4 linked regions of the Neodiprion lecontei genome follow. The protein of the gene in region 2 binds, or shares a complex with, the protein of the main gene of each other region. Links are inferred from orthologs where the notes say so. Each region holds a gene or a part of one and is shown on either strand. Other genes may lie near its edges.

Region 1 (7,548 bases), on a different chromosome or scaffold from region 2:
AATATTTTCTTACTATCATGCGACAAATTTTTTAAATCATCTGATAAATTATTGAAATCTAGTAAAGCTACAATGTAGGCATTTTTTTTCATTAGAGCTTTAGATGTTTGTGGTACTCTGATTGACTTATTCCTGGTAATAATTCCTAATACCTATTAGAACTTTGGTAAACAGCACAAAATTCTTTATAGTAGAACGCTAACGCTCCGACATGGAAAGTTTGGATAATATTACAATATTTATAATCTTGTCCATACTGTGTAGTGAAATTGAGGGTTACAATTCGTTTGTTATCTGCAGGTGCATATGTCCAAACAATGGTACAACCTGCTTCACTTGCATCGGAATTTCTTCTATTTATATCAATCGTTAATTGTTCTTCATTCAAATCGTTCTTGATATTGACAACTTTGATTCATGGATTTTTCAATTTTTCTGGTTCCACATCAAAATTTCGACAATTTTGTTCATATAAAACTTTAGGAGTTGCATCAACATCTGTATTGTTTTTGCATGTGATAATCATTTTTCTATTTTTCAAATCCATAGTTTTTGCTATTGGATATTGTATGTCCTTTAGTATTGATACATCTGTTTTATAAGTATCATTTTCATTCATTTTCTTCTTATTTTTAATAATGATACTAGTTACTTTTGTCATGGACGTTTTATTAAATTACATCAGTGAAGCTTATTGTGACCTCATTTTTTCCATTTTTTCAATGAGCTTATTTAGTCATTTATTTTTTCGATCATCATTTTTTTCAACATATTATCACTACTGTGTTCCTAAACAATTTCAGATACTTGTTCGAGTGTCACAGTATGATCAAGCTGCCCCAGTCAGTGGCATACATTGGTTGGATTATGCTTACTATCATAGATATACATTTGGGACCTTCACTGCTCTTGTAATAACCTTTTTCTACAGTGAGTCTATTTTATTCTTATTTCAAGTAGTAACTTTTCAAGCCAGTTCATGCGAATGTATTATTTTGTTAATCTACATCTTTTCAAATGCATTTATGTTTTCAGTCTATGGAAGTAAAATGATGAGCATCAACATCTCAGTGAAAAATAAATCCATTTTCGGTAACTACCTCAACCGCTGCTTGTAAATCGATTTAAGTATTGTAAGGCAGTCTTATACGTCAATAAAGTTTTAGTTTTTCTGCCTTAATTTACTTAAACTTACAGTTGTTCACAATACTTGTTTTGCGACCCTTGTGCTGCATGGAAAAATTAATTTTTTCTTTTTTTTCAATAGCCGAAAAGTGTCCACCGCCCATAAAGAAAACGTATACGCCAACTTCACCAAGTGGAAACAAAGTTACTAGCACTCCAAGTCCGGGGAGTGCAAACACATCGCTAAGACCTTTCTCAGCGTTTGAACCTGTATATGGAGATCCTCGGGGATTTTACACGCCTAACGCTAGGCGAAATCGATCCCTACTTAGTCCTTAGTTCTAAAGAAAAAAAAAAATAAATAAAAAAAAAAGAAAACTGGTAAGGACATTCTTCAATAATTTTATAGTTTACTGGTTGTTGAGTGGTCAATTTATCAAATGATAGTTCGACAAGACTGACGAACAATGAAACTCAGACTTCATGTGTTATGCAGTGAAATTTTCCGGTAATTGATCACACATGTTAAAAAGTGAAACAATTTGATCTGACACTATTCTCAATTTTGTTTTTTCGCTTTCCTGATCTTGTCTATTAGTGATATCAAGCTATTCTAATTTTCTCACCTGGAACGTTTCTAAAAGATTTTGTCTATATCGAAAATTTTCATTGATGTAATTATTTAATTAACATTGACGCAACTTATGGGTCTGGGTTTCAACTAGTGACAATTGTTGATCAAAAGGTGACGAATATGTGACTTAATTTTATTTATAATAGACTATATTTTCATACGACAATACGCTAGAATATAATGAATGACATTTTGAGCGTCACATTCAAAATGGTTGTTGAACTATACTAAGGTCGTTTTCAAGTACGTTACGTATGTAGATGTACGTATGGTGAAAAGTAATCGAAGTGTAAATACTTTTTGAAATGTTTTTGTATCGTATTTTAAGATATAACTCAGGTTAAAGGATATATATTATTCTTAAGGCGTTGAATAAAAGATCGTACTATAAAGCCTGTTAGATTCTCCTTCCATCTGACAAGTCAATAAAGATAGATATAATATTCTGGTCAATCACTTTGTCATTGAAAAATCTTTATTTTTATCATCGTTCCTAAAATTCCCAGTGTAAAGTTGATTTTAGAATGAACTGATTGTACGCACAAGACGGGTATCCGTGAAAATTATACTTCATTTGCCTTGAATGGAGCAGTTTATTCATCAATAACAAGTTCGGTGTAAAATATTAATGTATTATCTTTTTTCACTTTCGCGAAATGCAGGTGATATTTAAAAATGATGAAATTGAACGTTTTTGGCGCACTTGTGTGTACACCTATATTTTTAATTAGGTAACATGTGAGTCAGTGTACATCGTCTGCAGTCTACAGCGTGAATAATTAAAGTAAAGATGCTCACTGAAACGATACATTTTGTAATATTTGAATTCTGTTGAACTAGAAGGCTGAAACTTTCCATGTAAACGAAATATCAGCTTCAAGACAATTCACATCTTCACTCTATCCTCAATCTTTGAGTCAATTGATAAAACTTTTATAATAGGAAACAAGGATATTTTCACCAAAAACACTATGCAATACTGGATTTCATAGTCTTCCTCATATATATGACATTCAATTGAGAAAAGCGTACAAAAATCTCCCGACTAAACCTCTAGCGTCCATATGGATGAATCTGTGAAGCTGCTTTAATGTTGGTCTTGATTGCGCTTGGAGCTTTTCCCATTTGGCCCACTGCAAAACATTAAATGTACACAGTTCTTGTTAATCAGTGTGGAATTTATCCTTAAAACAATAGCAAACAAGGTAAATTTATTTATCCAAAATACTGTTTCTTTATCAGGATTTGAACTACATTCAACAATTCCAAGAGTAATTTGAAGCGTGCAATAGAAGTAATGTTTATACTGTGCACCTCCTATTTGTCCTTGCCCAGCAGCTTGTGCCTGGCCACCAGATCTCCCAGCCATTATACCCGGTGGTCCTGGACTCACTCTGGACTGAGCCATCGGTCCAGAATCAGACTAAAGAAAACAATTGTTATTAGGGCGAAATATCAGTGACTATGGCATCGCTAACATGATAATAAATAAGTGCCCACTATGGATGAAATAGGTTTGTGATGAGTGATCAGTAATTACCTTAAGGCCTTTACCCATGCCAATTGCAGCAACTAAGGTGTGAGTATCTGCGGAACTGCTAGTTTGTACCTGGGCAGCTCTGGCACCAGCTTCGCCCTCCCATTCTTCTCGGGCCTTGTATGCGATGTCCCATACATGACTAACCACCTTGTTGTACTGTGCTACTTGTTTCTGAAAGTCAATTATGTTACTGTTAGTACCGACGATTTAGCGTCTGCTGGTGGTGAGTTCCAATCGCCAGATAGACCGATTACTTGGAGGACATCGAGCTGATAAAAGGTTGCCAATCACAGCTTGCGTTACCGATTTGATAATCTGCTTTATCGGTGACATCGGTCTAGAGCGAATGGAACAAAAATGAAATCTCTGACCAACTATGGTTAGTGGCTTACATTGGAATCCTACTTGTTGTTTAGTTTGCATATCAACAGAGAAATAGAATAACCTCTGTAGTTTTTGTGGTCAATGTATTATATTCTCGATACAAACTCGTCAAGATAATTTTACGAACTAGCAGCTTCCGAAAGATTCTCAGATTACACAATTGTTTTCATTAATTACACGAATATCAGCAAATATTTTTTCATGTGAAATAGAACTGTGAGCAAGGGGAGCAGAGTGATCGACAAAAGCGCAAAGGAAGTCGAAACAGCAAAGAATTTGCATACATCTGTACTCAGAATGAATAAATTTACCTGTGATGCTTCGAAAGTGAGATTGGAAGCCTTGAGCTCTAGGTGATTCATCTTCTGCTCAGCCATCGGCTCCGGTTTTGTTCTCAAATAGTCTGGTACCAAATCGTGGGCGAATGTTGATATTCTACCTTCTGTCATTCGGAGCAGATCCTCATCCTTTTCCGGACTCAAGAGCAGTGGCAATATCGTGAAATTTCTCATATTTGGTGCCTTATCGTGGCCAAGAATTTTCGAAAGACTCGTCAGCTGCGGATTAACAACGTTTACGATTGTTTATTATTTATTAGTTATTCGTTATCTCGGCTGAAAGTGATCATTGAAATTCAACCAACTACTTACATGACCCGAAATAATAGCGAAGTTATCGAGAAAATTTGGCCAGTTCAGCGTCTCATATTCGTGCTCCAGTTTGTAAAGCATTCCGGCGATTGCAGATTTTAGATCACTTACTCGCAGAATGATCGCCTCCAGAGCAGAGTCCAACTGTTTTTCTTCTCTTTGCATTTCTACAGAGGACTTGAACTTCGATGATCGGATTAATTATTACAATTTACCGCCGCTGTCAGCGTTTAGACGTACGTACCTTGGTCAGAATCATTCGAATCACTGACCTGTACACTAGAATTTCCGGATAGAACAGCTGATCGTGCTTTCGAGATAGTGTCGACATCTATGCTCAAGTAGTCGCAGCGTGGAACTAGATGTCGCTCATGCGTCAAATTTAAAGTTAGTATCTATTAGCTCCTGATTTGTATTTTCTTCTTGAGTGCAAACAACATGATAATCTATCATAAAAGTAGAATTTTCAATTCTCTTACTTATCCAAAGTTTTTTAAACCGGGACTCAGTTTTTCCCGAAGGTATCACTTATTTCAAGTTAATTTTGCGACCATTCATTACAAAAAATGTAAAATCTGTTTACTCTTGTATATCACAATAAATCGTTTTTTTTTTTTTACTTTTAGAGAGCATTGACAATAATACGGAAGAATATAAAAATCTTACAAATCCGTATTATGCTGTTATAGTTCACAGTAATGTAGATGAAACTAAAACATAAGGGTTCATTTAATCTCAAATACAATATTTACTTTGTTTTTATTTTTTAAATCATATATAATCATGGGATAATAATTGTTTCCAATTACAATTGATGCAAATTTGATTAGAATAATGGTAAATTACTTGTGTTCTTGTTATCATTATTATATTATGTAGAACTATTTCAATTAATCTTTCTCTTCGTTTGTATACGCGTATATAGAGTGGTTCTCCCCGTAGAGTTTTTCAGATTAAATATATGTTGATACGCTTTGTAATTACACAAGTGATAAAATATACATAACAATTGTTTACACTGTTGGTCAACTTTGGCTACATATATTGTGTGTATCTACTTACGCGTTTATATGCATGAATTTCGTTTTAAATCGTTATATCTTATGTCAATATCGTCGCATCCTCCCTTGCGACAGACTCGAATTGATATTAAATAGTTACAGGTGTAACGTAAATGGCTGCTTTTTTTCACAGGGTGAATTTTGAAATGCCATCCAGAAATGAATAACTATGTTACGATGATAGTCAAATGAGACTGTTACGAATATCTTTCTGCCAATTAGTATAACCATGGTTATACGTATCATTGATTTCTTTGTGTACTTGAACGAATAATTTAACCACACAATATTATACTTTCACCCAGACGTTGACTATACCAAATTTTACCACACCCCTGCACCTGTAACGAAACAATTATCATTTTATCATCAAACCCGTTTTTACGGCGTACACAAGTAAACCATTATCTATTATTATTATATTCACCAAATCGTACAAAACTTTACATAATATAGGCGCATAAATATTAATTATACTCTCTGATATAACCAGACAACCCACATTGAAATCATTGTTATAACAAATACACTCTTTGAGATTTAATAATCTTTTGCACCCAATTGTCATTTTTTCACCCTCACATAATAATATTTATATAGCACATCCTGTTACCTCGTCCGTCGCTACATACATTAGATATCATAACATAACATACGCTCATATTATAATTATAATTGAAACGACGTAGTTATTACGTTTTCCTCATGGACAGCTTGAATAATATTAATAATGGTAAAAATATCAACCATAATCATGACTACGATAAATAAGCGCAACGAGGCACAAAGTACTAGTCATAGGGGTATGTCGTTTTATTACAAATGTGTATGCTTCGATTTAAAAACAAATCTAAATGGTGTCTTTAGCAGGAGTATACATCAAGCAATTCAACACTAAATAAGATTTGTATAGAATAATTAGTAAAATTTGAATTTCTGAAGCATTCAAATTGGCAATATTGATCAATGGTATACCAGGTAAGGACACATGGCGATTGCAGCGTACCATCGAGTAACTTGGGGGATTACAATTTCGAAATTCTATTATCTTTGTGAGGAAATTCAGAGAAACTTACACATGCATTGTTTAAACTGCGTAACAGAAATAAAAAATCAACAATGGGATTCGAATTCATGATTAGAAATGTATAACGGTTGTTGGACAACAATAGACCGTCTCTTTAATGATCAATGAAGATCTGCACACTTTTTGGTTCATGTGCTCTTGGGTTTCCTTCGTACACGTGTATCTGATTCGAGTATAACGTAAATATACATCGCAATACGAAGAGCACGGCCATAGTTTTTCACTTTCATATAATTTATTACTTCTGTTCAGCCACGCACCCACCACGCTGCACACGTGTCGTTTAAATACGCACAATATTTACATGACGCGCGATGGGTCATGCAAATATTCGCGATACATATCAACACATACATTGTTTACTTTATCATCTATCTAATATTGTGAGATGGCTTATTATACGTATATAATAAATCTATGTGGTTTGTTAATTAGTAATTACTTCACAGCAGTTTAGTTATGTATATTACGAATGATCAATTTGCAGAAATCCAAACGTACAACACACTCGCCAGTTATACACGCGTATACATAGGTATGTACATACATATAGGTATACATACTATATGCATTACAATAATGCACTATTATTACTATTACTACACATACGGGTGCTGTAATAAAAACAAACTTCACGCTATGTATTCTCAGCATTAAAATTTATAATTGTTATTTCCACACGTTTCTGCTTATAATCAAAAAGCACTTTGCTCAACAAATATTCAACACTCGAAGAATCAGATTCCTTTCTATACAGATGTATACATGTACAGGTAGGTATCTAAATACGAATATAATAGGGTTTATAAGAAAATAATCCGTACTATATATTTTTTTTTCCCCTTCAACTACTCACGATGTATCGAAAATCTGAACAATTTCTCGTCAACAAATGATTTTGTTCGGTTTTTATAGAAAGTGTAGCGATGTTTAAAAAAATTTCCTTTACAGTAATGTGTATTATATATGGTATTAGATTGGGAAAAAAAACTACAACAACAAAGTTACAGTCAATTGAAATTTCGACTGCGCCTTACAGTATGAAAAGTTTAATTGTACACTGTAAA
Region 2 (7,332 bases):
GCGTCATTTCTCTAATGCTTGCCTTTTGCTCTCTCTAACGTCTTTTTTACGTTTTACGAAAATTTCCGCAATTTGTAAAGTGCTGGAATAAATTCTTTCATGCACTATTTCGACGTAATTTTGCGACAGAAGTCGACTGGGCGCTGTCCCAATACGCTGCGATCAACGCATCAAAAGTTACAGCCAAAAAATCCGATCCTGTGTTTTCGATATTTTTCAGCAGGTGCTTTTTCGCTCGCCGTTTCTGTCCTGTTGGTCCTGCGCTCTTTTCGCTGCGTTTTCTGAGTTCCTGAGGATCCAATTAGTCAGGTAAGGGTCATTGAAATTGAATCTGAGACCAAAAACTTTGGGTTCCAAGAATGAAGAAAAAGTAAGTCTAACCCCACTGCATCTTTGGCGAAAATTTTCGCGATTTCGAAAATTGCTGGAATAAATTCTTTCATGCACTATTTTGACGTAATTTTGCGACAGAAGTCGATTGGGCTAGGGCCCTACCCTACCCCACCCCCCCAACCCCACCCTACTCCTACTTCTACTCCTACTCCCGATCTTTCTCCTATTCCTACTCCTACTTCCGATCCTACTCCTAATTTTACTCCTACTCCCACTCCCACTACCACCCCTACTCCTGATCCTGATCCTACTTGTATCAATACCTTCGAACGAAGTACTCACAGTGCACAAATCCTCATCACTCTCGTCCACCTACGACCACCGCTAATCACCTCCAACGACCACCATTGCAAAATTGCCATTAAATATTATGAAAATGTTTTACTCACCGTGCATAAATAGCCGACACTACCGACACTACGTTGGCTGTAACTAATATATGTATACATATAGACTACATTACTCATTATCTCATATACTACTCTTCAGATGTTACTTAAGACAATGTGTATTGTACTGCTTCACCCTAAGATAATAGTCAGCTTTGTTATGTAATGTTCAATCATTCTTCTGTATTTCCTTTCGTGTACTTTAATAATATTTGGTCACTTGTTCACATATTATAAACTGACACCCGAACACTTATACTAGGATTAAGGCGTAATAAATGAACCGAAACTAAACTGAAACAAAACTTTCTCGCTATGAAGTCGTTATTTGCCTTTGCCGTTTTGTTAACAACCTGGTGCAAATTTCATGTTGTTCGACCATTCCTTCTAATCCGTTGTTCGCAGCGAGTTGAGACTGAGCGTAATCGAATCATCTGGAAAAATTATGTTGATATAATAGATCAGAGAATTGATTCTAGCATCATCCGAAATCATCGAACTTTTATAAAAAAAACCTAAAGGAAGTAGCCTTACTTTTTTGAGCAAAAAATTTGTATACTCTAATTCCCTACGCAGAGAATGGACGGTCAGAAGAATGAGTATCAAAGGGAAAAAATAGTTTAAATTAATAACAATTGTTATTACTTTTAACGTTCAAGAAAACACTTTTGAGTGTAAAATTGTTATTCCTAGAAAGTCGACCCTGAGGTCTGCTGAATGGTAGAATCGTTTCTTCCAGAGTAATTGTAACTGAGGAAATAAACGGGGTTGAACTTTATGAAGAATGAGTTTTATATATTAACCTTCTTGTAATATAGAATATGAATCGAGATGCGAGTTTCTGATGTTTCTCAGATTTTTCGCATAGTTCCGCAAGCAGAAACATATTTGCGACATACCGGTGGTAATAGCCACATTGATATATAATAATTTTTTTCAAAGATCAGTACTGGATAGTTGTTGGTACAAAATCTGCCCACTAAATTTCACTATAAGCGTCGTCAGTGTTCCTTTTACACCTATGCGTGATTGGTTGCAGGGATGCCCAAGATCCACTAATCGATCGGCGATCTTGAAATGTAATTCATAGAAAGTTATACTCCCTTCACTGTCTTCGGTGTTTACAGAACACCAGTGCCAGTTTATTTCAGGCAGGAATTTGTTTACGTGGAGTTGTCTCCTTATAGTTCAGTAAAGACGTGTTTACACAGTGCTAGAAATCGGACCGATTTCTCGGACCGAAAAAAAGTTACCAGAACTCGTATCGCGTATACAGCAAACTTGGACGTAAATCGTGGATCGAAAACGCGGATGAAAAAATGGATCGCGTCCCATTATTCATCCGCATTTTCGATCCACAATTTACGTCCGAGTTTGCTGTATACACGATACGAGTTCAGAGGGATGGGCGATGTTAGTATAAAATAGCGACATCCTATTGTCGATTGTTTTAATTCTACTACCAGTCTACTATCGATGTTCTTTTAAAAACATCGGAACATCGATTGTTATCATCGGTGACGAATAAAAGCGCGAAAAATTCAAAAATTTTAGATACAATTGTAGACAGAATAATGAACGCAGAAATTTCAAGTTTTGAATTATCATTATTATTCAAAATAAAAATAAAATATGAGAACTAAATATAAATTACATTGGATAAAATTAAATTATTGAAACATTCTAATTAACAGTGAGAAATTTAATAGAAAAGTTCTATAGATGAGTTACCGACAGATGTTGGCACAGAAATTCAATTTATTCCTGACATAATGATGTCGATAGTCCAATATTTTCCATCGATTATCGATATATCGACTTTAAAACCCATCAATCAAAAACATTGATACTCGAAACATTGATGTGGGTGCATAATCGTTACCTGATCGACAACGCGAAGCCATTTGAGTTATCAATATCCACGGATTCATTTTCAATAACGCAACTCTCGACTCTCCATTCCCAGTTAATCTAGTTAAAATGGCCCGAGAATTTTGCATCGGTTCTTTTCTTTAACCATTAAGGATTATTTACTAAACGATTTAATACTAACTAATTTTTTTATTTACCTTCCAGCATTTACAAATTGCTAGACTACCTCATAGTACTTTTTTCACTCTGCCTTCCTAACTGGGAGGAAATGGTTAGTCAATATTAAAAGGATATCAAGTACCATTACCTAATCCTTAAAATTCCGGTTGAAAGGTACGATCCAATGTGGCTTACAATTAGTGACCCTTACACTCATTATCTCTCTTCACATTGTTATTTTGCTGCCCAGCCAATCTCATACTGCATCCATTAGTCCTACATCCCTGAGCAAATGATTGGTATAGTCCTGCCTTATCATAGACATAGTACAAACTTTCAACCATCCCTCAAATTACATGCTGCAGGTGTTTGACAATCATAACAGATTATCAGGAAATCACGTATCTTCTAGTATCCCTTTTATCATGCTCATCACACTTTTGCAATAATCACAAGAGTTCATATTTATTGAGTTCGGTAGGTGTTGGAGATTTAAAAATGAGATTGAGTTCAATTTCAGTTGCGAGTACTTATTCATTATTTTAAAATACTTTACTTCATTCGAAGAGTTAAAAATTAGTAGTTTCTGTATCATAACATGACTAATTGTAGCATCGATGTCGGATCTTTATTGGACTTTGTTCAATACTTTACAAATTCATTCTAATTTTATGGATCTGATTCAAATGTAAATATCCAATAGTACAATATAAAAAATCTCTATGGGTCATTGCAGTAGGAAATATTGAAATAATACTTGCATAAAGATTCCTCTTGAAAATTCGCAATAAGAGAACTACGATGTATTATCATTTCTGCTATATAGTTCTCGCACACTGAAATCTGAAAAGACAACATTGTACCCAATTGTATATTAGGAACTATTCATCAGTGATTCATTTATGGACACTGATTCTAAACCCCCTAATGACTCAGTCGTTTATAATCAATTTTTTCAAGCTGAACTAAAGGTCTTAACTGTTCGGCGAATATTCTCATGTCTTCAGCTATTGCATCTTGTCCACGTGGAGCAAGCACGCTCAATTCGACCAAGTAGCTTTGAGATATGGGTTCTACATTATCCGGTATTTTCACTTGAACCATTTTAAATATTTTTGCTACAGTTACTTTCATTCTACCCTTTCGGAACATGTATCCCTGTACAATATACTCAAAATCTATTCTACATCCCAATTCTGTGAGGAATTCAACAACTGTACTGCTTGTTGCAATGTCTATACTGCTTCGCACTATTGTCGGTCTAGACTTGTCACCTAGCTCGGGTTGTCCGATGTAACGTAGCTGCCAAGGCATATCCTGATGATCTAAGGCTCTTCTCACCCTCAGCGACAATGGTTGTTCTGGCGGAGGACCTCTGAAAGGTTAAAATTTATATTTGAAATGCTCTTCTTTTTTAAAACACAAAGTAAATTTTTAAATTTTGCTGGAAGAAAATAATGGCTCATTATATTATTATCGTGAAATATAAATTGTCACAATAGGCAAGTTACAATTTTAAAGCCGCATCTGAAACCTAGAAAATATGCAAACAATGTGAAGTACTAAGCACTCTGGGTGAATAACGACAATGTATACCAGCAAAAAGAGAATGAGATTTACCTCCTGATACTGAAACACATTTCATGATCACGAAAAGTCTCCGGCCTACTATCAACGTTATCGCACAATCCTCTCAATCTTTGCAATAAGACTTCCACCGCACTGTCCATAACCGAACCTTGCAGAAGGTATTCTTGGTTTGGTATTATATTCGACTTTACAGCAGCATTTAAGCTGTCCATCGCTGTACTTATTTGACTTGCCATTTTGGCAGAGTATTTAATTATACTTTCTACTGCGGTATGTTAATGGATTTGTCGCTACAGAATGGGGTAAATTGTCATTGTCCGATCGTCGTATTTGGTCTCTTTGCGAGGTTAAGTCACTGCAGCCTGCATACAGTCAATTTTCCCTGTTCCCAACAAATTGTCAACAATCATTGTCGCCAACCTTGTGATTGAAATTTATTAAACTTTGATGCGCGCGCATCTGACGCACTCAACGTTCACAAATCTGCACAAAATTGCTTTCTCGTTTGCACGCAACAATGTCACGATGTAAGAGGAACAATATAACAACTTTATACGATCGTGTTAGTGAGTTCGCTTATGTTGTTAGGTGTCGAAATGTCAATGTAAGAGTCGCGTGCAAATAGATGTCTGTTTATTGTCACAAAATAAATTCGAACGGTTCGATTGCGGTATGACATCGTCGAAAGAGTTGACCGTAGCAAGAAAAAGCCTTGTCGCATCGCTAGGTGATAACGCAAAACTGTAAGTTTGTTTTTATGTCACTCAACATTATGTGTGCAATGTGTGTATACAATTTGAGCTCAATTACCTTTTGTAAATATTGCGACAACCTGATCTTGGTATGATACTGTAATAACTGATTATACTAATACAGCGGTTAAAAACCTTTCTGATCTGTCACTTTGAATTCACCCTTTACTGATTTCCTTGGAATCGCAATGGACTTTGGGTGTACACATACTTAATTATCATATTGTGGTTACAGGTACTTTGAAAAAATGAAGCTGTGGTTTCAGATGAAGGTACACCAATATCTTACCTGAGTCTTGATATCCAAGAATCGTTTTGCTACTTTTTTTTTTTTAATCATACACTTATTTGATTTTCTCAGACAACTAAAGAAGAATTTGACTGCGAGGCGCGCAACATTATGACTGAGGATCAAGTCCATTTGCACAATGAATTTCTACTCTGCTTGTTCAACAAAGTACAGGGGTTAGCGTCTGTGACAACAGTCCGAACTAACAAACACAATCATACAAATGCTCATCTTGATAAAGAAAAAATGCTAGAGAAAAGGCTGCGATTGAAACGAAAATATAAAACAGACAAATCAAATTTTGAAGTAAGAAGCTGTTTTGGAATAATATTAAAAAATCCGTGATTAACCATATAGTGCCAGTACTCGGATTCAGTTGAAGAATATTATTTTTTAAAACTGCTATACATATTTCAGTTAAAATTTTGTAAAAATTTAGTTTTAAACATTTTTGCCATTAATTACCTGTCGATGAACTTATGATTTCAAGACCTTAGGATACCAGAGAGCCTGTAACTCTCTTCCAAAATGTTTGATTAAAATTCATGAACTCATAAATAAAAATTGCCATTTTGCCAAATTAGTGAATGTGCGATAGCAGGCACTATAGTGTTAAATGGGTATCTGTTAGGAATTTGATATTTTATTGCTAACATATAGAAGTATTCATTCATTATTGGTCTCTGGAAATATGTATAAAGTGGCCATAAGGCTGTGTCAAATATTTGAAAGCAGATATTTTTGTATGAAAAAAAAGCAAATACAACCTGAGAAAATTTATGTTAAGAATATAAAAGCTGCATATTTCAGCCTGCAGATGTCTACGTTGAAGTCTTGGGCCAAAGTTCGTCGCTGGTTGGAGACGAACCTATAGGTGCCAATCATTCCAGCGCGCAAGAGCTTTTGCTGCCAGATCGTACCTTCGTTTTAGCTAGACTAATGCTTGCTGCATGGGAGAATAATATGGATGGAGCTGAAGAAAATACAGCTCAAATAATTATAGCTGCTACTCAGGTACGAATATGCTATAGCTACGAGTATTTTGCTATACTGAAGTAATCAGATTGTGCAATGTTCTGGATTCGGGAAAGTACATTGTTTATTCTATTCTTCAGTCGGTTTTACCCATGATGTGAGTGAAAAATAACAACCCAATTCTCATACTTACAGGTATTTCTCAAAAATATACTCACAGCCGTAATAACTCGACGGAAAGGTTTCTCGGTGCGAGAAGGATCATTTATTCATAACATAGGTGAACCAGTACCCAGTTCATGGACCAGAAATACATCCTACATAACCAACACGTCAAATTTTAGGTACAGCATAGATTCATATTTATGAATAAAATCGGAATAGGCTGGAAGTAGGGACTAATGTTACATTTTGCATAAGATCGTTACTTTAGTGCTTATTCCCTTATTTCTGAAATTTTTTTGTACCGATTTGACTTCTTCGAATTTCAATCATAGTTTAAAGCCTCCTATTTATTTTCTAATTTGATAGAGTATGTAAAAGGATAGTGCTAGATTTTCCGTAAATTTCATGTGTGCGTCTATAACGAATAATATATGAATTATCCAGTATGGCTACAAATATAGTGGAGCCTGAAGGACAAGTACCTGCAATGAAGCAAACACTCGAAGAAGCGGAACAAGCAAATGCATTTGCATTGGCATGTTCAACACAAACTACCTCACCGACTCCCGATCCTGTTAATGTGGCTAATCTTCAAAAAGCATTGAAGGTATGAGTTTGATGAATATATTTGTTACGGTGTGTTAATTAAATATGCCTAAATATTCGGATGAGTATAACAACAAACCAATTCTTGGAAAAAATAACAGGATATAAATTTTGAAACTCACAACTGTTTACTGTCTTGAAT
Region 3 (7,756 bases), about 1.1 Mb from region 2:
ATTCACTCATTTATAATAAAACCGTTTGTTATAGTAGGTTTCCACTTTGTAACTATTGAATGATTTAGTACGCAACAGGAAGTGATGGTAGTGAGTAATAGCGAAATAAATTTCGAATGTTATATTGTCTTCAGGACTACCGCGCCTTTTTGGTTGTTCGAGCACTGCAAGGGGTATTTGTGCAAGGGCTACAAATCTCTACATACACATTACTCTTGGAGCTATTTCCAGTCAGATCAAGAACTTTGGTGAGCATGACCTTGCAATTTGGTTGGGCCATAGGGCTCCTGCTTCTGGCAGGGCTCAGTTACGCTGTTGCAGACTGGAGGGTCCTTCAGTTAGCCACATCGGTTCCCACGGCGGTCACCGTCCTCTACATCTGGTAGGATAATCGCCATAACGCCGTGCATACGTCTCAGCTTGTGCTATTGCTGTCTTCATTTTGTTACTCGGTTTGCTTTTTTTACTTGCCTACTTGTGAGCCCCAATTTGCAAGTGACGTGATGTCACTTGAATATTCACACGTCTATTTCTGACCTTACGTTCGGATCCAAATTCAGGATCGAGAAAATCCCTAAGTGCGTTGTTTTAGCAAATGTTCTACATTAGGAAATTTTTTCAAAAATATGTTCAAGGATCATACCAGAGTCACCACGATGGTTGCTGGCCAAAGGAAACCTGACGGAGGCTCACATGGCGTTGGAAAAAATCGCAAAATACAACACCTGCTGCAGGAAGCGCGAGGTCAAGGTGGAGGCCGAAATGGAGGAAGGAAATACCACAACTATCACCGAGACCGTAACGCCAGTGAAACCAAAGCGAAAGTCTCGGGTGTCTAACGTTGACCCGAACGAAACTAAAACGAACGATTCTCTCACCGAGGAGTCATCAGATCTTTTAACAACTCCGGAGCTTTCCGATGGCAGAATAATAGTGGGCCGTAAATTCGTCAACGTCAAAGAAGGTTCGAATCACAAAACCCTTCCATTCGCATCAGTATTGGTAACCAATGACAATTTTTTAATCCTTTGTTTCATTCAACAGAGAATAATGTGCTTACACCGTCGGAAAGCCTGGAGCGAAGGGCATCAAATTTAGAGATGCAGATGAAGTTTGAGATGACTGTTGGGGATGAAGGAATGGAGGAAAGAGACCCCACGCCACCGCCACCCGCTCCTCTAACTCCAAATGGCAAGGACTCTCAATCCAGTAATGGTTCCGACGATAACCAAGAAGTCTCGACAATAATACCGGAGGAAATAGTGGAGCTTAGAACAGCGGAAGCGGTGCCGCAGAAGGAAGAAGAGGACACGAACGAGTCGTTAGAAAAAAATAAAGAAGACGTTGAAAACAAAAGTGAAGTAGCAAATAACCAGACCTTCCTACAACTACTAAGACGGCCAGGGCTTCGGAGGAATTGCATGATTCTGATATTCGTATGGTGAGTGTGACAACATCGAATGAATTGCGTTTAGCTGAGTTTAGAAGAAGGGATCGATTACTTGGCGGAATTTACACGCGTAACGCCGAATAAATCGTTAGCCAAAATATCTGCTCTCTTATAAATCACCCTCTCATCCATTTTACTAAGAACAACTTTCTTTTTTTTCACGAATCAGAAATTGAAGTGCCTTATTTTACAGGTTCAGCGTTTCTCTGTCCCATTGCGGTTTCGTGTTTCAATTGCCAGACATAAGCGGCGATCGACACGTAAACTTTGCAATCGGCGGTTGTCTGGACCTGATCGCATACTCGCTCACCCACTTCGTGCTGATAAAATGTGGACGGCGTATACCTCTCGGTATTTATCTGATACTGAGCGGAGCTACTTGCATCGTTATCGCTGCTATCAGCATGCCAATGCATGAAAATTCGACCTGGACGGGTAAATCAATCAGTTCTGTAAACCGGAAATTTTACCGAAAAATAGAGATAGAACAAAAAAAATTGCACTTCACTGGGGATTTAGTCAATTGTTCAAACTGTTTCAGGACCGACAAAATTAACGCTGATTCTGATAGGAAAAGGAGCAATCGTGAGTTCCTTTGCAGTTACATACTTGTACACGGTTGAATTATTTCCGACAGTTTTGCGAGGTACGTGTTTAGGATACTGCGAAATTTTTGGCAAGATTGGCACTTTGATAGCACCGCACTTCACAGTACTGGTAAGTCTTTGCTAATTGTCTCGCTGCATCGATAGTGATGAGTAAATGGAAAATTGTTGACGGTACGGTTCGTGTTATTTTAGGGTACAAAAACATGGGCCGCAGTACCGATATCGATAATGGGAACGCTGTGCGTTGTGTCGGGAATCTTGAGTCTGGCTCTTCCGGAAACGCTCAACAATCGCCTGCCCGACACTATTGAGCAATCGGAAGATTTATTTAAGAGAAATCGCGTCCGAAGCACCGAAGAGGGATCGGTGAAAAAAACGAACAACAAACGGCGCACGGTACTCGACGAACAAAACGAACGTGACATACTGCGGGAGAAATTATTTAACGACGATAACGATGGAAAAACATGGGTAGAAGCCGGAAATGGAATTATTGTCAATTTTTCTGACGGAAAGAATACAGAGTGAAAATCCGGAATGACGAAGCGCACTTTTGATCGCGGGAATAAATTTTGAGTTGACGATAAGTTTTGTAAATATAATAATATTAATAATAATAATAATACCAACAGTATATGCGTATGATAAATAAATTATAGAGGCTAAGATATACCAAAGTATTTAGCGCTATTTAATAATTGTAGGTAAATTATCGTCACGTAATCGAGTAGTATAGGTATCTTTTTTCGAAGTGCATCATATTTACACCGTGTAAGATTAATGCAGAAGTGGAGTATTTGTGTGGACAATTTTCAGCGTAAATGTACTTTTTATAATCCAAAAGTACTTTGCAAAATTTATTACTCTGTTCCACAATTCAGCAGGGTTTCATGTTTTGAAAAAACGTTGTTGTGTATATATACATCTGAAAAACTGTTCGAAATAAAGCGGACGTGTGTCAAGCTAGAAGGATGTGAAAAATTTGTGAAATTACACTTTTTAACAAATGCATAGGAAAACTATTCAGCTACCGCCAATCATTCAAGGTTTTATGAAATGACGAACTAAAGAGCCTCATAAAATTTGATATTTGTGTGGCAACCTTTTTTTTCTAAGCATTCTTTAATGTAAGCCTTGAGCAATGGAAGTACTTAAATTCTCTGTTGATCAAAAGCTAGCCTGATTAGCTAGTTCATTGGTAGAATTCTGATTATGAATGAAGATATAATCCTCGAGACAAGTATAAAAGAAGTCTTTATTTAAATTTAAACAAGTATTCATTACATTACGAATAATACGGATGAAAAGAAAGGAACAAAATGTACAGTTGAAGTTGTTAAATATTATTAACAATGTGTTTTAACACCTAAGATTATTAACAAGTTTTTTTACAGTCTCTACGGTACTTTTGGCTGCACCATACCGTTGTTTTGCGCATTATTGGGCTGTGTTTGCTCTGCTGCTGTTTGCAGTAACCTTGTTCTGCGTCTGGTGTAATGCTGCCATAGCAATATTTGCTGATCATCGATGAATTTTGTGCACTGAGCGTTTACGACTTCACGTCGGAAATGCTCATACTGCAGTAAGTCCAGAAAATAGAGGCACATCGGGTACTTCAAGTATTTAGCATATTCTGGCTCCTTCCAGTAAAGTAGATACTTCAGGTAATTGATGAAGGTGGAATCTTTGAAATATCCTCGCTGGCCCAGAACTGTGCCAAAACAGTAATGAATTATAATCAAAGTATACAGCGAAGGGTTTATACATCTTGAAAGTAGATGTCTTCAAGTCTGTTGTCTCCGCTAATCCTTTATGAATATTTTTCAGTGTTCCGTTACTGTCCAATTTCGCATCCAACACATTCCAACAGCTACTCAGTCTCTAGTTTCCAGATATTTTCTGTGATAAGGCTAATTTCTCAAAAACTGCATCTTTCACGAATTGTTCGTTTTGAATCTAGTTTCTTAAATACTAGAGAAGAGTATTCTAATAGGAGTAGAAATTTTGGTGTTACAAAAAAACACCACATCAATTTCAGAAAACTATACAACCGACGGATATGAATAAAATAATTTGATTGTTTCAGTTTATCAGATGATTTTCCTCCTCAATCACTTGGAATCTTTGTGCCAGATTAATTGAATCTTGCAGAGAGATTGAATTTCAGAACTAAATAATTCATAACGTGAATTATGATACAGCGCTGACAGACAGAATCCAGTGAAAAGCTACGCTACCCATTTTTGAAGATGGAATGATAGGAGCAGACCTGTGATAAATAACTACTACAAATAAATAAAACGTTCTATAGCAATTTTATGATGTGTAGGAAGTTGCCCAATTGAATATGGGATCCTGAAGAAAGGTGAGAACTTCGGCACTGGTATAGCAGTTCCATTGAAGAGTCGGCCAGTACTAGGCAGAACTTCAGTAGATAGTCTTGTTCTCATTTCTCTATCACAAGAAATTACAGATCGATTTCACCTCTTCAACTTGCTAAAACTTCTGGGAAAATTCACAAACAACTCTCTTCTTCTGTATAATGCGCTTATAAAAAGAATTGATAAATTTTAAATTAAATCGTCAAATTGCCATAGAATGTTTTACGTAGTTATTATATCCTACACTTGCGATACACGTTTCCTCAGATCAAAAAATTCGCTTACATTTCGGTGTAACGAGACTTTTCCACTACCCAACCATTTTATTTTCGAAATTAACATCTGACTGGTAATATCTAGGCGATTTCTATTTTACCAGTACAATTTGTATCTTCTGTCAAAATTAATAAATGATTTTCAAAACGAACGATGGTGTTTAAGTGCGGACTTTTGATGATGAAAAACAAACCCCGCCCATTATATGAATTACAGGTATACACTAATCAAAAGTGGGACAGATATTTCAGGACAAAACGTTAAATTATCATTGAAGTTCTGCTTACTAACAATCATTGACATAGCACTGATATTCAGCACTGAGTGTCGCGTAGTTGCACTAATCAACAATAGCATGACCTACTTAATTGCCCAGGTAACAAGTCATTCTAAATAAAGAACCCTGCCCACGTTAGGCAACTTTCCTTTACTAAAGGATCTGGCTGTGTTCTAAATTGTGAATCTTTTGCGACTTGGATCAATTTGAGTTACGAGGAAGATGAACTTTGAATTTTGGAAATATGTGGTGCGTATTGATGCAAATAGTTGAAGAACATGAAACGAATATTGATTTAATAATTCAAAGTATTTCCAGAATGACGTCAGTATCGATTGAATTTATGTAACTAGGAGTTCCGTTGAATCGACGATGACTTCAAGTTTAACATAAAACGAGGATCTAAAATAAAATATTTACCTAACGATAACTCCTTCTAACACATTCTTAGTATATCATTAATTTTTCCATCATCAACATACATATTTACAACTGGGGAGTAATGTCAATGACCTAAGGTCAACAGCTGAAAAGTACAATGGAGATACGAAGTTAAAAACTTACAATTTAGATAGTTTGGATTAGCGAGACATTGGACAAATTCCAACTCAACCTGAAAGCGAAGTCGCTGTTGGTCATCGGTTTCTGGCCCACCTGAGATAAATAAAAACACTCGAATGAGGTTAGACGATAAAGGTACTATGTTTATGTTATTCGTAATAATTTTTTTGATCTATAGCTATGTGAGAATTTACGCTTAATCACGAACCGATGAATACCTTGCTAATACGATCACTTGTCGCGGGATATTTTTATCTTCAATAAACGTCAAAATCGTATCGTCTGTCATTTTTATTTACATATTTTTCAATCTACCTACCGTTCATCCCGATGTAAGATGTTTTCCTTCCCTTAGTTAGGCCTGGGAGATCGTCCAAGCGATTCATATTACACGAATTCTTGATGTTCGAATATTTTTCGTCTCTTGATGACTAGGCACTCACTTATTCCAACTTTGATAAACAATACGATCCTCAAAGTAACTCCGAAGATCAACAAACTCGCAGCGGTTTCATGACGCCATGCGAAGTCTGATGCAAGGTCTGATGCTTCGAGAGCCACGCGCACGCGTTAAGTTGGCGGGAAAGTTGCGCACGCATACCGCAGATTTCGGAACGCAAATCGGGACAATTGGTCGCGGAGTGCGTGGGTTTGAGAACGTATACGAGGCGCAAAACTGTAACGCTCGTCTTCAACTAAGAACAATCAAGCATCAAGTCCACGCGCAAAAAGTGCGATAAAATTTTGGTAATACATGTTAAATGTTTATTAAATTCAAAATAAAAAGGTCTTCGATCATTTAAAAATTCACGACAATTGCTAATAAAAAAACCAATCCATAAACGAAAAATGAAATACACAAACGGTATGTTGGATTGCCAAGTAATTAACTGGCTAGTTATCTGAGAGCTGTATATATCTTGGAGTAAATGTATGTACACTATATGACCATCGATTGATGAATTTATAACTATATCAACATAAATTATGATATAGCCACAACAGTAAAAAAAATTTGTATAATGTATTCAGCTATGAACACCCAAAAAGTTCACACATAATGCACAATTTCTCCGCTTACAGAATCATTTCGATGGAATTATAACAGTGCTGAAAATTTCATATAGACTTCGATAAGATATATAGGAGACGCTATTTAAGCGTCAGCATTTTACTGAAAATTTATATGATCTTGTACGTTCAAGTATGGTTTTCTATTTTTGCTATCCAAATGTGTATAAAATATCGACAGACAGCTCAGGAACGTAAGTTAAGTCAAATTTTTGTACAACGCTGCCATACCCTGATCCTATAAAGGTTAGCGGTCCTTACATGCCTCTAGTCTACGTGAGAAAGAAAGATAGGTAAGTATCATGCACTTTATGTATTCTTTTCTGAGTTCTCTTGAGAGCAATATCTTCCAGAACACTGCAGAGTGTCTCAATACTTCATGAAATTGCAGAGTCAACAGTATATGGTCCTCATTCGTGTAATGGCAGCTATTTTACAGAAACGTGAAACTTAGGGGTTTCAAACTGTTTCCCGTCATTCAATTGCTTTAGTCATTACCATTGCCAATATAATTATTTCTCCTTAATCACTGATTTGAGGGCTTTAGCCCCAACTTATTGTTGGTATTGGCGCGGGGAAAGGTCGGGGCAATCCTACATTGCAACAAGTACCAGACCTGTTCTAATTCACAAATTGAAGTTAACGAGTAAATTGCCAGAACATTTAACATCCCCAGTATTTTCAATAGACAGCATAATCGAATGAAAAGTGTTGACGGTTACATAAGTCTATCATTTCATCTATGTTTCAATAGAAATGGTAAAATTCTGGCAAATGACATTATCGTTTCTTTAATGCCATCATGTCATTCAGTAGAGAAAAAAGAAATGGACCATTACTGTGCCAGCGTTAAACCACTTCGGTAACGAGCATGGCATTGAGTCAAAAACTGCACGTGCAGCTTACCTATCAGCTGATCCTCGCTGCACTGGAGTCACCGCCGAATCAGGCTCTAGTCAACAGCTAATCATGAGCTTTGCACTTTTTCACACTACACTCTTTTGGTCTGACAATTTCAATGTCCGTAGTCATGTACGTATCATTTTTTCACAACAAATAACAAAGAGTATTCACCCATTTATGCTACATAGTTGGTTGAACATTAAATGTAGCTGTCATTTGTTACGCAATT
Region 4 (9,907 bases), on a different chromosome or scaffold from region 2:
AATTGGACAATTTCAATGATAATGGAAAGCGTGCGTTGATCATTATGCCTGAAGATGCACAGATTTCTGAAATAGTTCAAATGGCCGATATAATGCGAAGGGCTGGGGTGAGAGACTAACTCTGAATTAAGTGTCGTACTTCTTTACTTTAAAAATATAGCAGACCTTCAATTGGCTATTGATTCCAGATCAGTGTTGTAATCGCAAGTCTGGATGATTCAGACTGCATACGGGGTAACAGTAACATATTCTGTTATGCAGACGCAGCGCTTTCTGATGCCTTGAGAGAACCATCGTTCGACGTGGTTGTTCTACCTGGCGGTTTGTTAGGAGCTAAATCGCTTGGAGAGGTAAGACATAAAATTTTGTAAGATTTGAATGATGTAAACTAGATAATAAATTGCTGCAGTCGGAATTGGTTGGTAAACTGCTGAAAGAATTCGAGGACAGCCACAAGTGGATAGTCGCAATAGGAGATGCTGTGCCGGTGCTGCGTAAGCATTATATAGGTGCTGGAAGAACTTTTACGTGTCATCCGCTGATAAAATACAAAATTGAAGGATCCGAATACATGAAGTACAAATATATCGACGATGACGTACACGTGGATGGTAATAATAAATTGTCATCCACGAATTGTATCAGCAAAAGGGGAAACAAATTGATTAAAATTGGATTATGAATTTTCAGGTAAGATAATTACCTGCAGAGGTGGTCCGAACACGATTCAGTGCGCTCTGAATCTCGTTCATTTAGTCTGCGGTCGTTACATTGCTGAAAATATTGCGGAAAAATTGTCTATCAAATATGACAACGGATACTGCAGAGAGTGTTGTGGAAATTGTAAATACTGCTGTCGTGAAGACAAGGTAGCCAACTAATGAGAAATTATAGAATTGCTATTTCAGAATAATTTTTAACTCATTTAATACGTAACATGATTTAGAAGGAAATTGATCCCAATATTGCGGAACGATTTTCGTGCTCGACTTGCTGCGGGGTGAGTTATTCAGAAATTGTCGAATGGGAGGAATGCAGAGTTCTGTCCAGTATGTTGGAAAAAGAATACATGATAAAATATAAAATTCAACGACAAGAACTTAAGGATAGGGAAGAAGACAGGAGCATAGAGGAGAAAGAATTACAACAACAAATCAAAGAAGATGAAGAAGAATTAAAAAAACGTAGAGAAAAGTGGACGAATATGCCGTGCATGACTCAGGTCTTTGATTTTTCACATCAGTCTATGGTTCAAGCTAAAATGCTGGTGCTTACTTTTTTTTCTCACTTGTAAATATCGCAGGCAGAATATGACAGGTACATGCGAGAGTATGCGGAGAGAGAAGAATCGCGCTACAATGACAGAATGCAGAAAATATACGATAGACTACATATGAGACTTAAGAAATCGAGAAGGCACCAGGACATGATTGATTCTATGAGGAACATGGAACCGAACGAAATGGATGCTGCACTCGCTCAGATAACTTAGTAGAGTTAGCAATTTGTAGGAGGAACAGAAAACAAAGAATTTTATAGGTACTTTAAGTAAGTTTTAAAAAAATTGATTTTTTTTTGGCATCAATTTCTTTGTAATCGAATTACTAGGAAAGTAATTATTTTCGATCGATAGAGACTAAACTTAATTTAAAAAAAAAAAAAAAATAATAATTACAAACGTAACAGGATGTACAGGTCATTTTTGTGCTTATATTCTACTTTACAGGCTTCAGATTTATGTTCCGCAGCATGCATAAATCTCTCGCAGTGGCTTTTCGTCCTGCTGTTGTTTGAATATCGTACAACTTGAGTAATAAATCAGTCGTAAATAACTCGGGCAGCGCTTTGAGCAAACATGGAACCTAAAAGAAGAATATCGTTCGGTTTACGAAATAACTCTGGAAATTAAACTTGGTTCACTTCGTATGACCTATTCTTACCAAAGTTTGCGGCATTCCTTGTAGAACGATTTTTGTCCTGTCCTTGCCGCACTGAACGATGAACCGTAGAAATTGTAGGATGAAATGCGTCTGCTGTGATACTTCGCCATCCTTCCCAGCGAGTAGTGTAAAAGTTTTGAACAACATATTCAGCGCAGTAAGCAATGGCTCTCTTAAGCGAATAGACTTCTGCCCGTTAGGTTGTCCCTGAGCCTGAGGAGAGCTCGTGTCAAATATCGAACTCGAGTCCCCCGTTTCGTTCAGTCTCAATATTTTGTTGGCCGGCACACCGATCGCATCTAATTCTTCGCTGTCTAATTCGCACCTTGCACGCTTACGACTGTTTCCTCTGGGTGGGTTCGAGTTGTTGTACTCCAAGGTTGAATAGATACACGAAACGCACAGCTTCGCCAGTACAGAAGACTGAGGTTCGACTAGCTCCTCTCTCCTGAAATTTGGAATTATTTTACTCCCGCTTTTGTTGGAGTAGTTGAGCAATCGAAAGCCGCAAAATATTTGGCACAAAATTCTCACTGCGATCTATTGTAGAGGTACTGAGGTATGACGTGATGCAGCAGGTCCAAGGTGCAGTTTTCAATGTCCAAGTGAAATACTGCAAACGTCAAATCCACTGCCTGATCCAGTTCCTCTTGGTATCTGTACTTCATTACTTCTTTGACCAAATTCGAAACGAACCACAGCGAACCGCCGGTGTTCAACAAAGATTCTAGCGATTGAGTAGCTTCGATGTTGATCCAACCCCTTTGCTGTATTCCATGCCACACAGTTTCCAACTGCTCAGATATCGGCTGCCGCGATATTATACTAAAATGAAATGATTTAACAAGACCTAGGTTAATAACTAAAAAAATTTTCATAATTACCTGTGCGACATTGAAAGCACCTTTGTCTTGGATTGCGTCGGAGGATGAACGTCGTACTGCATTTTACGTATTATTTGGCACATTAGGCTTGATCTGAAAGAGTTTGATCAATTAGGAAGCGATAATTTAATTTCGAATCACCTTGAGTCGACGTGAATAATCGACGCAATTTTACCTTTCTTTGAAATTATCCTGCATCTCGTCACTGGAAATAGGAGTCAGGAATTGTTGAACCATATTCATGGGCTTCAAGAGCGCATCTTGATGCGTTATGCTGACGTGAGCGCAGAGCCAGGCTGCTGCACATACCGGCAAGCAGCAGGCCGCTGCTCTCAGGCCGTCCAAGGCGCGTTTCACATCGCCAGCTCCGAGTGCTCCACTTTCCCAGGCGCAGAGAAGCTCTTTGACAGCGCCCATGGCCGAGCGACAAGCGATGTGCCATTTCATGTTACTAGACTTAAAGTCTGGATCCGGGGAATTGATTTGGGCAAGTAACGTGTCCACTCGAGCTGCGTCAACGTTTTGGAGCATCCGACGCGGGCATTTGGGCTTGTTTCGTTCTGCCATACACTCTCGGACCCATTGTTCAAAGAACGAATCACCGTCTTCTTCAAGAACCACCTGAATAGCCAACAGGAGAGAGAAATTTGAGACAAAATCAAGAGGATTTGGATTTCAATGTTTTAGTATCAGCAAGCTCACTTCAGATCCGTATGTTTGAACGATAGAGCAGAGCATTAGAAACGAAACATCAAAAAGCATTGCTCTTGTCGCAGCCATTTTCCCTGTCACAGCATCGTTTATTTGTTTACTACATTCGTTGAACTTTATCAGTTTAGAGACGAAGGTTTTCAGTTTTCCCTCGACAGTTGCAACGGCCAAGATTAATTCGAAACTCTTTCCAGTCAGTACCTGGCACAGCATGCTCAGCAGTGCTTCCTGAATTTTCGTATAATCTGTATTGAGAGTCTTCAGAATTCCAGCCAGAGTTGGTTCCGCGCGAATTATTACTTTTGGAATTGATGGCTTGGGAGTTTCTGATGGTTCTAATTTCTGTAATGCTGCAGTTACACCTTCTCTGTAATACAGAACAATAAAGTGAAAATTCCGTCAACCATGGAATGTTGTTTATATTTACATATTTGTATATTTATTTATTTATTTATTTATTTATTCATATTATACGGGATTTTGGCCCACTTATAAAATTTTAGCAGTAGAGAAATAGGTGACGCCGACAAGCGCAAGTACATAGAATAGAAAAAAAGAAAATAAGAGTAATAGAAACACCAGTATGCAGAAAAGTACGATAACAGCATAATATTAAGCCAAAGCTCTATTCGAAAGACAGCACCCTGTCCCTGCAGAGCATTTTGAACCTGTTATAAAAATTATTACCGTTGGCTGCTAAGCTGCTTCGCCTGTTTCTCAGTAACCAAATTGACTTTTTGTAATTCGTTTAGCAGGCACTCGATGCAATTACAGGAACAAGCCGTGTCCATGATATCAAGCAGAGGAGTAAATTGGAGCAGCAATTCAAAGGCGTCCAAGATGTCTTGGGAGTACTCCAACTTCTCTTCACCTATCGAGAGAAATGCGAGTATTATTACCATCAAAATGCAATCCTGTATTATTATACGGTATTGTTCTGAATATAAGCCAAGGAATTTTGTCGTTGATAGCACCTGGCAACATCCTCCTCGTCTTATACATAGACCCATTTTATGTGTGGGTAACTAAGAAAAACACCCTGAAATACTGTCTCGGAATTGGGGTCAGCTTATACTCGGAACAATACGGTATACAGAAAATGCTCTCTCACCGCTGAAAGTCGTTACGTTTAATTCTTTCAAAATGTGTGGTACTTTCAAAAACGTAAAAGCACCCCATAGCGACTCTTTGGAAGTTCCGGTTACGTCGTGCAGACACATGAAGCAGGCGCGAATAATTTCCGAATACAACTTGGCGTTGGAGTATCCCTTGATTCTCTGTATCATCAGGAGCTGATTGACCAGAACTGCGGTTTCGGTGCTTGGATTAAGCAAGACTTGAACAGCGAATAATGGTTGCAAGCAATAAGTGATCGGCTCCTTTTTGTTGTTCTTGGAATGCGAAGCCAATGTTTCTATATCAAGGTTGCAAAGCTGTTTCAACGAGCTCTCAATTGGTACTGCAGACTTTACTGTACTATTCTTCTGAAGAGATTCTATGTCCTGGCACTTTTTCACCACCTCGATATAAAGTTCTGAAAAAAGACAATAATGAAAGTTTTAATTTCTACAGGGTACCAGATATTTCTACACCCAAAATCAAATCTCAATCTGTTCTACCTTTATCATCATGCTTAGCTAGGCACATCATGGCACAGAGGAAGTCGGAGTTAATCATCTGTTTCAGAATGCTCGCCGGTTTATCGATCAAATCCGTGGGATAGGTGAGTGATGGATTATTTTGGGGTATTTTGAGCACGTGGAGATAACACAGCAGCAACCAATGCACTATTGAAAGTACAGAGGCAGCTAATAAATCTTCCTCCGGCTTTCCTCGACAGGTTATACCGACTTGAATTGTTTCAAGAAATTCTAACAGGCTTATGATACAGTGCGGCTTGTGAAATGCACCGTATTTGCTTATCCTTTGTAGAACAGCTGCGTAAGACACTAACTGAAAAATGTGATGTATTATTGTCAGCAGATTTTTGGAATATCACCTTTCGAATTTGAGGAGAAAAAGAAACGGGCAAACCTGCGAGCTCAGCGAATGTTTTAAGTACGATAACACCAGTTGATTTGGTCCGGGGCCCACTAAAGCCTGCTGCAGAATGCAATCTGCCAAATTGTAGACATCTCCGCTTACACCTCTTGGTAAAATCTGATAACAAGTGAAATTTAAGTCAAATGTGAAATTTTCACAGCCGTTTGATTACCAGAATTCAGCGGTACGTACAGTTTTTATATTGATTCCCCATTGTAAGTCGTTCCAACGTTCACGCCAAGCCCTTAATAGCAGAGCCTTGAGGCTGCTAGTCTTGCTTGTAACCTTAGTCTCCATTGTTCTCGTCGATAGAGGATTGCGCATAATTAATCAAAAGGTAAATACAGCCTGTCGAGTTTCGAATTAGTGATACTTTTAGCCTGTCATACGTATTGAGACAGGATCAATACATCGGTTGAGACTATTTCACAGTACCTTAGGCGGGTCAACACGACGTTTCGAAAATTGCTGAAAAATCGACGCCATGCATTGATTCATTTTAACAACATTTAACGCGAATAAACCGTATGTACAATTCTTGAATAATAAAATTACGTATTTGTTGTCGTGATTAGGTTAACCGAAAACTGCGAGACGTCATCGCCATCTTGACATCTTCTGTTAATAACAGTCTCAGACAGCCCCTGACACTCACCACTGCTCGTATACTAAAAAATTGTACGCGTTTTGTCCCCTTTTTTTAGTTCCTCTACGTGGCGCTAGTAGACCTTTGACACGCTCGCTCGCTCGCTGATCGCACGCAAGCTTTTTAGACAACTACTAGCGCCACCAGTGGTGGAGATTGGCGGCAGAATCGAGGGACATTTTGCGAACCACTTTTAGCAGCGTGTGCACGGTCTTACATACAGGTCTGGCAACGAAGCCAATTTTCTACAGAGCGGCGTGGTTCTCTTGCTGTCCGTGGTTTTTAGTGTTTGAAATAGCCATGTCGCAGCGCTGCTATCTAGGGATGTACGTGGGGTAGGGATGGTAGGGATAAAAATGTGCCAATAACAATATTATTATTACGTTGGCGCTGCATTGCGCACGCGTTGATTATCTATCTCTCGATCACAACGCTGGCCTGGCGGCCACAAAGTGAGATACATAACCGGCCGTGAAATGAACCACCCCCATTACCTTCGTTGCCTGTATGTAAGACCGTGAGCGTCTGTCAGGGGGCTGACCGTGGTTTCGCATATATGTATATGGGCATTCGCTCACTCACGCGTTTTTATCACGTTATTGTTGCTAGTAACTAGACCGCAGCGACAACTGGTTGTGCCGCTAGAATCGACCACTCCTAAGATTCATAGACTTAAAAAGATAGACTAAGCGCTCCTGTAAGAGGCACTGACAATTACACATAAAGGACAGAGATATACTGGGAGTACTGCTCTCTCTTTTCAATCGGCGTCATGGCGGGAGACAACGGAGCAGTGGAAGTGGAACAGCTATAGATATAGGTGCATAATTTCGCCTCATTCTCCTCTACCGCCTCGATTCCCGCCACAAATATCGTTAGAGAGGGAAAGGAGTACTCCCGGCATATTTCTGTCCTTTAAATGTTTGCTTCAAGCGGCTCATAAGAGCGCTCAGTCTATCTTTATAAATCTATGGTAAGACCGTGAGCCATATAACAGTATATTATCATACAGCATATACTTGCGTGCATTATTCATGTTTGTCACCTAATAAAAATTATGAACAGCATTTCATATTCAATCACTTAATTTTAATGTTTTTATTAGTATTATTCCTATTTTTAAATTATAACTTCTAATTTATGTTTTATGTACAATATAGGTAATAAAATTTCCATCCTTCCATTTATTTTCGATTTCATTCTTACCACTGAGTAGTAGGAAGGAGACAACACTCTGCAATAAAACTTGTCCCCAGTTTTAAGGTAACGTAAGAGGAATTGTCTAAATGCGATTTGAGCGCCTCTTACGGAAAAAAGTGAAATTTTCGCTATAAAATGTAGAAAAAAGGGCGGCAAGCGAAACCTATAAGCCTTCGTTTTATAAACATACTCCGTAAATTCGTAAAATATGCATCTAAAGTGACTAAAAATCAGTAAAAACCGAGTGATTGCTTTTCTAATCTCAACCGACATTAAATCCAAGGAAAAGGTTTGCAAACGGTGAATCGTAAGATCATATGGGGTTGGGGGTGAGTGCGCTATACGGGCTTACATCACAAGAGGTGCTTAATTAAATCCGTGACATGCTCTAAGGTTGAAGCCACTGGTTGAACTGCAAGATGGCCTTTATATGGTCCAGGCACACGATTGGTTCTTGGAGAGTGTTGCGCAGAAACACCCTTATCTTCTACGTCATAGGGTGCGTTCAAATATTAGCTCTCAGTGCTGTTAACAATTTTTTATCTCTCTTCTGCTGCCGAGTCTGTGGATGGCTCTGCCTCTATTCTAGCGAGATTTCAGCGCTGCCAGTTAATTTCGAAACGCACCCATAGTCGAGAACGTTAAATCGCCTGGGACAATTTTGGAACAGCTTTTACCGTCTGTCGGATCACGTAATCATAGATCTGTCATCAGCGGTCATCCCCCTTCCATCCCTGCTGTGCCTTTTTTTTTTCAAATGACACATCTTCGCGTGCTGTACACACGAAACTCGTATGTGTCACATCCATGTATGCGAAGACCAATATTTTGATTCTCTGGCGTGTTGCTGCTGCTACGTGACTGCGTAAAAAAATTATTTGAAAATTTTAACCACAGATGAATAATAGTGTAAATAATGTAATTATCGTTCCCGATTTACGTAGACGTAATCGATCTTCTCCTATTATTCTATGGACAAACAAAATCCCAATTAACTGTATCGAAATCGAGGGTGGTGAGTTGAAAGTTAAAGCTGAAACTACTTTCCTCTATTTTCAGGATCAAGAACATAATCAAGATGATTCAGATTCTGATGTGGAAGAGGTTGAACCACGATTGAAATACGTCCGAATGAGAAATGATCTTGATAGTATCCTCCAAAATGATGCCGCGAGCTGCATCGCTGTTCACCCAAAGGTGCCATTAACGCCTCTTCTGTCATACCTCATATTCCTCACATGTCCGCTCAGCGATGATTCCTTCTCATTTATCTTCCTCGCATTCGCTTTGTTTCGCACGAAGCAGTAGAATGTGCGAGTACGCATCGAGGTCAGGTTAGGGTACAGAGAGTCCTAACGTACCGCTACTTTCAGTTTCTCTGCCTGGGCTCGCATTGGGGAATGATCCATATATTGGATCACCAAGGAAACAGAATACGATCCAAAACTCTTCAAGCCCATACCGTTGCCGTCAATCAAATATCCATAGATCAGAATGGAGATTTCATTGGATCCTGCAGCGACGATGGAAAGGTTGTTATATATGGTCTATATAGCAAGGAGAATAACCACAACATGAGCATGGAAAGATTGGTCAAAAGTATTGCGCTTGACCCTTATTACTACAAAAATGGAAGCGGTAGAAGATTCCTAACGGGTAATGCAGCATTTCATTTTTATCTGAGTTTTTCAACTTCTTTCAACTCAATCGTTTGACAACATATCTGATGCTGATAGTTCCTACATTGCAAAATTTCAGGTGACAGTAAACTAATTTTATATGAAAAGACATTTTTATCGCGGATCAAACCTACAGTTTTATGTGAAGCTGAAGGTGGTGTACGATCCATATCCTGGGCTGGTCAATTTGTAGCTTGGGCTTCAGATACTGGGGTTAGAATATATGATTTATATGCTAAATGTTCCTTAGGAGTAATACAGTGGACTCGATCCATAGAGTGAGTATTTTTATTTTCAATTTTTTTGTTCACTTGCGTTTGCTTATTGTGCCACTTTAGGTTTTTATGAATTTCATTCTTCTGTGAAATCTCTATGTCAAATCTGAACTTTTACACCTATTAGCTATCATTGAAGCTCCCTCAAAATTATTCGCAAATTTAAAAAGTGTTGCAGCGACCCTCAACTCTTGTGATTCAATTTCAGTGCTTCACCCGAACATTACAGATGCAACTTAAGGTGGTCTGATAATAGAACGCTGCTAATAGGCTGGGTAGATACGGTTAGAATTTGTCAAATACGCAAACGATCAGCACAAGAGATGGCGAATCGAGATCTATCTGAATACGCTGTCGACCCTGGTATGGTACCTGTTTTGATCATTTCCTGTGCTCTGTTTTAATAAAATTGTCACCACCAACTCCATTATAATCCAAACTCCTTAAGAAGTAACTGAAACTTTTGAATTTCTCTTTCAGTCTCTGCATTCCAAGTCGATTTTTATATATCTGGTATCGCGCCATTGGA

Evidence for each region.
Region 1: mediator of RNA polymerase II transcription subunit 18 (region 2) and mediator of RNA polymerase II transcription subunit 8 share a complex: the UniProt entries of both Drosophila melanogaster proteins name them as parts of the mediator complex. The link is inferred for Neodiprion lecontei from reciprocal best matches to the Drosophila melanogaster genes MED18 and MED8.
Region 3: mediator of RNA polymerase II transcription subunit 18 (region 2) and mediator of RNA polymerase II transcription subunit 31 share a complex: the UniProt entries of both Drosophila melanogaster proteins name them as parts of the mediator complex. The link is inferred for Neodiprion lecontei from reciprocal best matches to the Drosophila melanogaster genes MED18 and MED31.
Region 4: mediator of RNA polymerase II transcription subunit 18 (region 2) and mediator of RNA polymerase II transcription subunit 24 share a complex: the UniProt entries of both Drosophila melanogaster proteins name them as parts of the mediator complex. The link is inferred for Neodiprion lecontei from reciprocal best matches to the Drosophila melanogaster genes MED18 and MED24.

The regions. Positions count from the first base shown.
Region 1 is NC_060264.1:26,414,280-26,421,827, forward strand, and holds mediator of RNA polymerase II transcription subunit 8, read right to left. Parts: upstream 4,837-7,548; 5' UTR 4,499-4,836; coding exon 4,334-4,498; intron 4,241-4,333; coding exon 3,995-4,240; intron 3,701-3,994; coding exon 3,692-3,700; intron 3,471-3,691; coding exon 3,300-3,470; intron 3,183-3,299; coding exon 3,074-3,182; intron 2,893-3,073; coding exon 2,813-2,892; 3' UTR 2,447-2,812; downstream 1-2,446. Other genes in the region: nuclear pore membrane glycoprotein 210, read left to right, coding at 804-930, 1,036-1,092, 1,268-1,464. UniProt on the Drosophila melanogaster protein: Component of the Mediator complex, a coactivator involved in the regulated transcription of nearly all RNA polymerase II-dependent genes.
Region 2 is NC_060262.1:34,397,130-34,404,461, reverse strand, and holds mediator of RNA polymerase II transcription subunit 18, read right to left. Parts: upstream 4,902-7,332; 5' UTR 4,640-4,901; coding exon 4,434-4,639; intron 4,189-4,433; coding exon 3,738-4,188; 3' UTR 2,370-3,737; downstream 1-2,369. Other genes in the region: transcriptional adapter 1, read left to right, coding at 5,076-5,146, 5,391-5,427, 5,517-5,750, 6,255-6,458, 6,615-6,763, 7,029-7,191. UniProt on the Drosophila melanogaster protein: Component of the Mediator complex, a coactivator involved in the regulated transcription of nearly all RNA polymerase II-dependent genes.
Region 3 is NC_060262.1:33,291,162-33,298,917, forward strand, and holds mediator of RNA polymerase II transcription subunit 31, read right to left. Parts: upstream 6,103-7,756; 5' UTR 5,940-6,102; coding exon 5,873-5,939; intron 5,647-5,872; coding exon 5,557-5,646; intron 3,770-5,556; coding exon 3,456-3,769; 3' UTR 3,296-3,455; downstream 1-3,295. Other genes in the region: organic cation transporter protein-like, read left to right, coding at 135-382, 636-964, 1,045-1,441, 1,644-1,885, 1,992-2,167, 2,251-2,586. UniProt on the Drosophila melanogaster protein: Component of the Mediator complex, a coactivator involved in the regulated transcription of nearly all RNA polymerase II-dependent genes.
Region 4 is NC_060263.1:14,885,767-14,895,673, forward strand, and holds mediator of RNA polymerase II transcription subunit 24, read right to left. Parts: upstream 6,252-9,907; 5' UTR 6,134-6,251; exon of another isoform or gene 6,047-6,133; 5' UTR 5,903-6,046; coding exon 5,771-5,902; intron 5,696-5,770; coding exon 5,570-5,695; intron 5,489-5,569; coding exon 5,155-5,488; intron 5,070-5,154; coding exon 4,647-5,069; intron 4,407-4,646; coding exon 4,223-4,406; intron 3,903-4,222; coding exon 3,527-3,902; intron 3,446-3,526; coding exon 3,000-3,445; intron 2,918-2,999; coding exon 2,825-2,917; intron 2,766-2,824; coding exon 2,475-2,765; intron 2,389-2,474; coding exon 1,941-2,388; intron 1,863-1,940; coding exon 1,716-1,862; 3' UTR 1,438-1,715; downstream 1-1,437. Other genes in the region: Parkinson disease protein 7 homolog, read left to right, coding at 1-107, 189-350, 410-611, 691-869, 947-1,294; vacuolar protein sorting-associated protein 41 homolog, read left to right, coding at 8,322-8,342, 8,484-8,621, 8,798-9,080, 9,183-9,381, 9,587-9,741, 9,859-9,907. UniProt on the Drosophila melanogaster protein: Component of the Mediator complex, a coactivator involved in the regulated transcription of nearly all RNA polymerase II-dependent genes.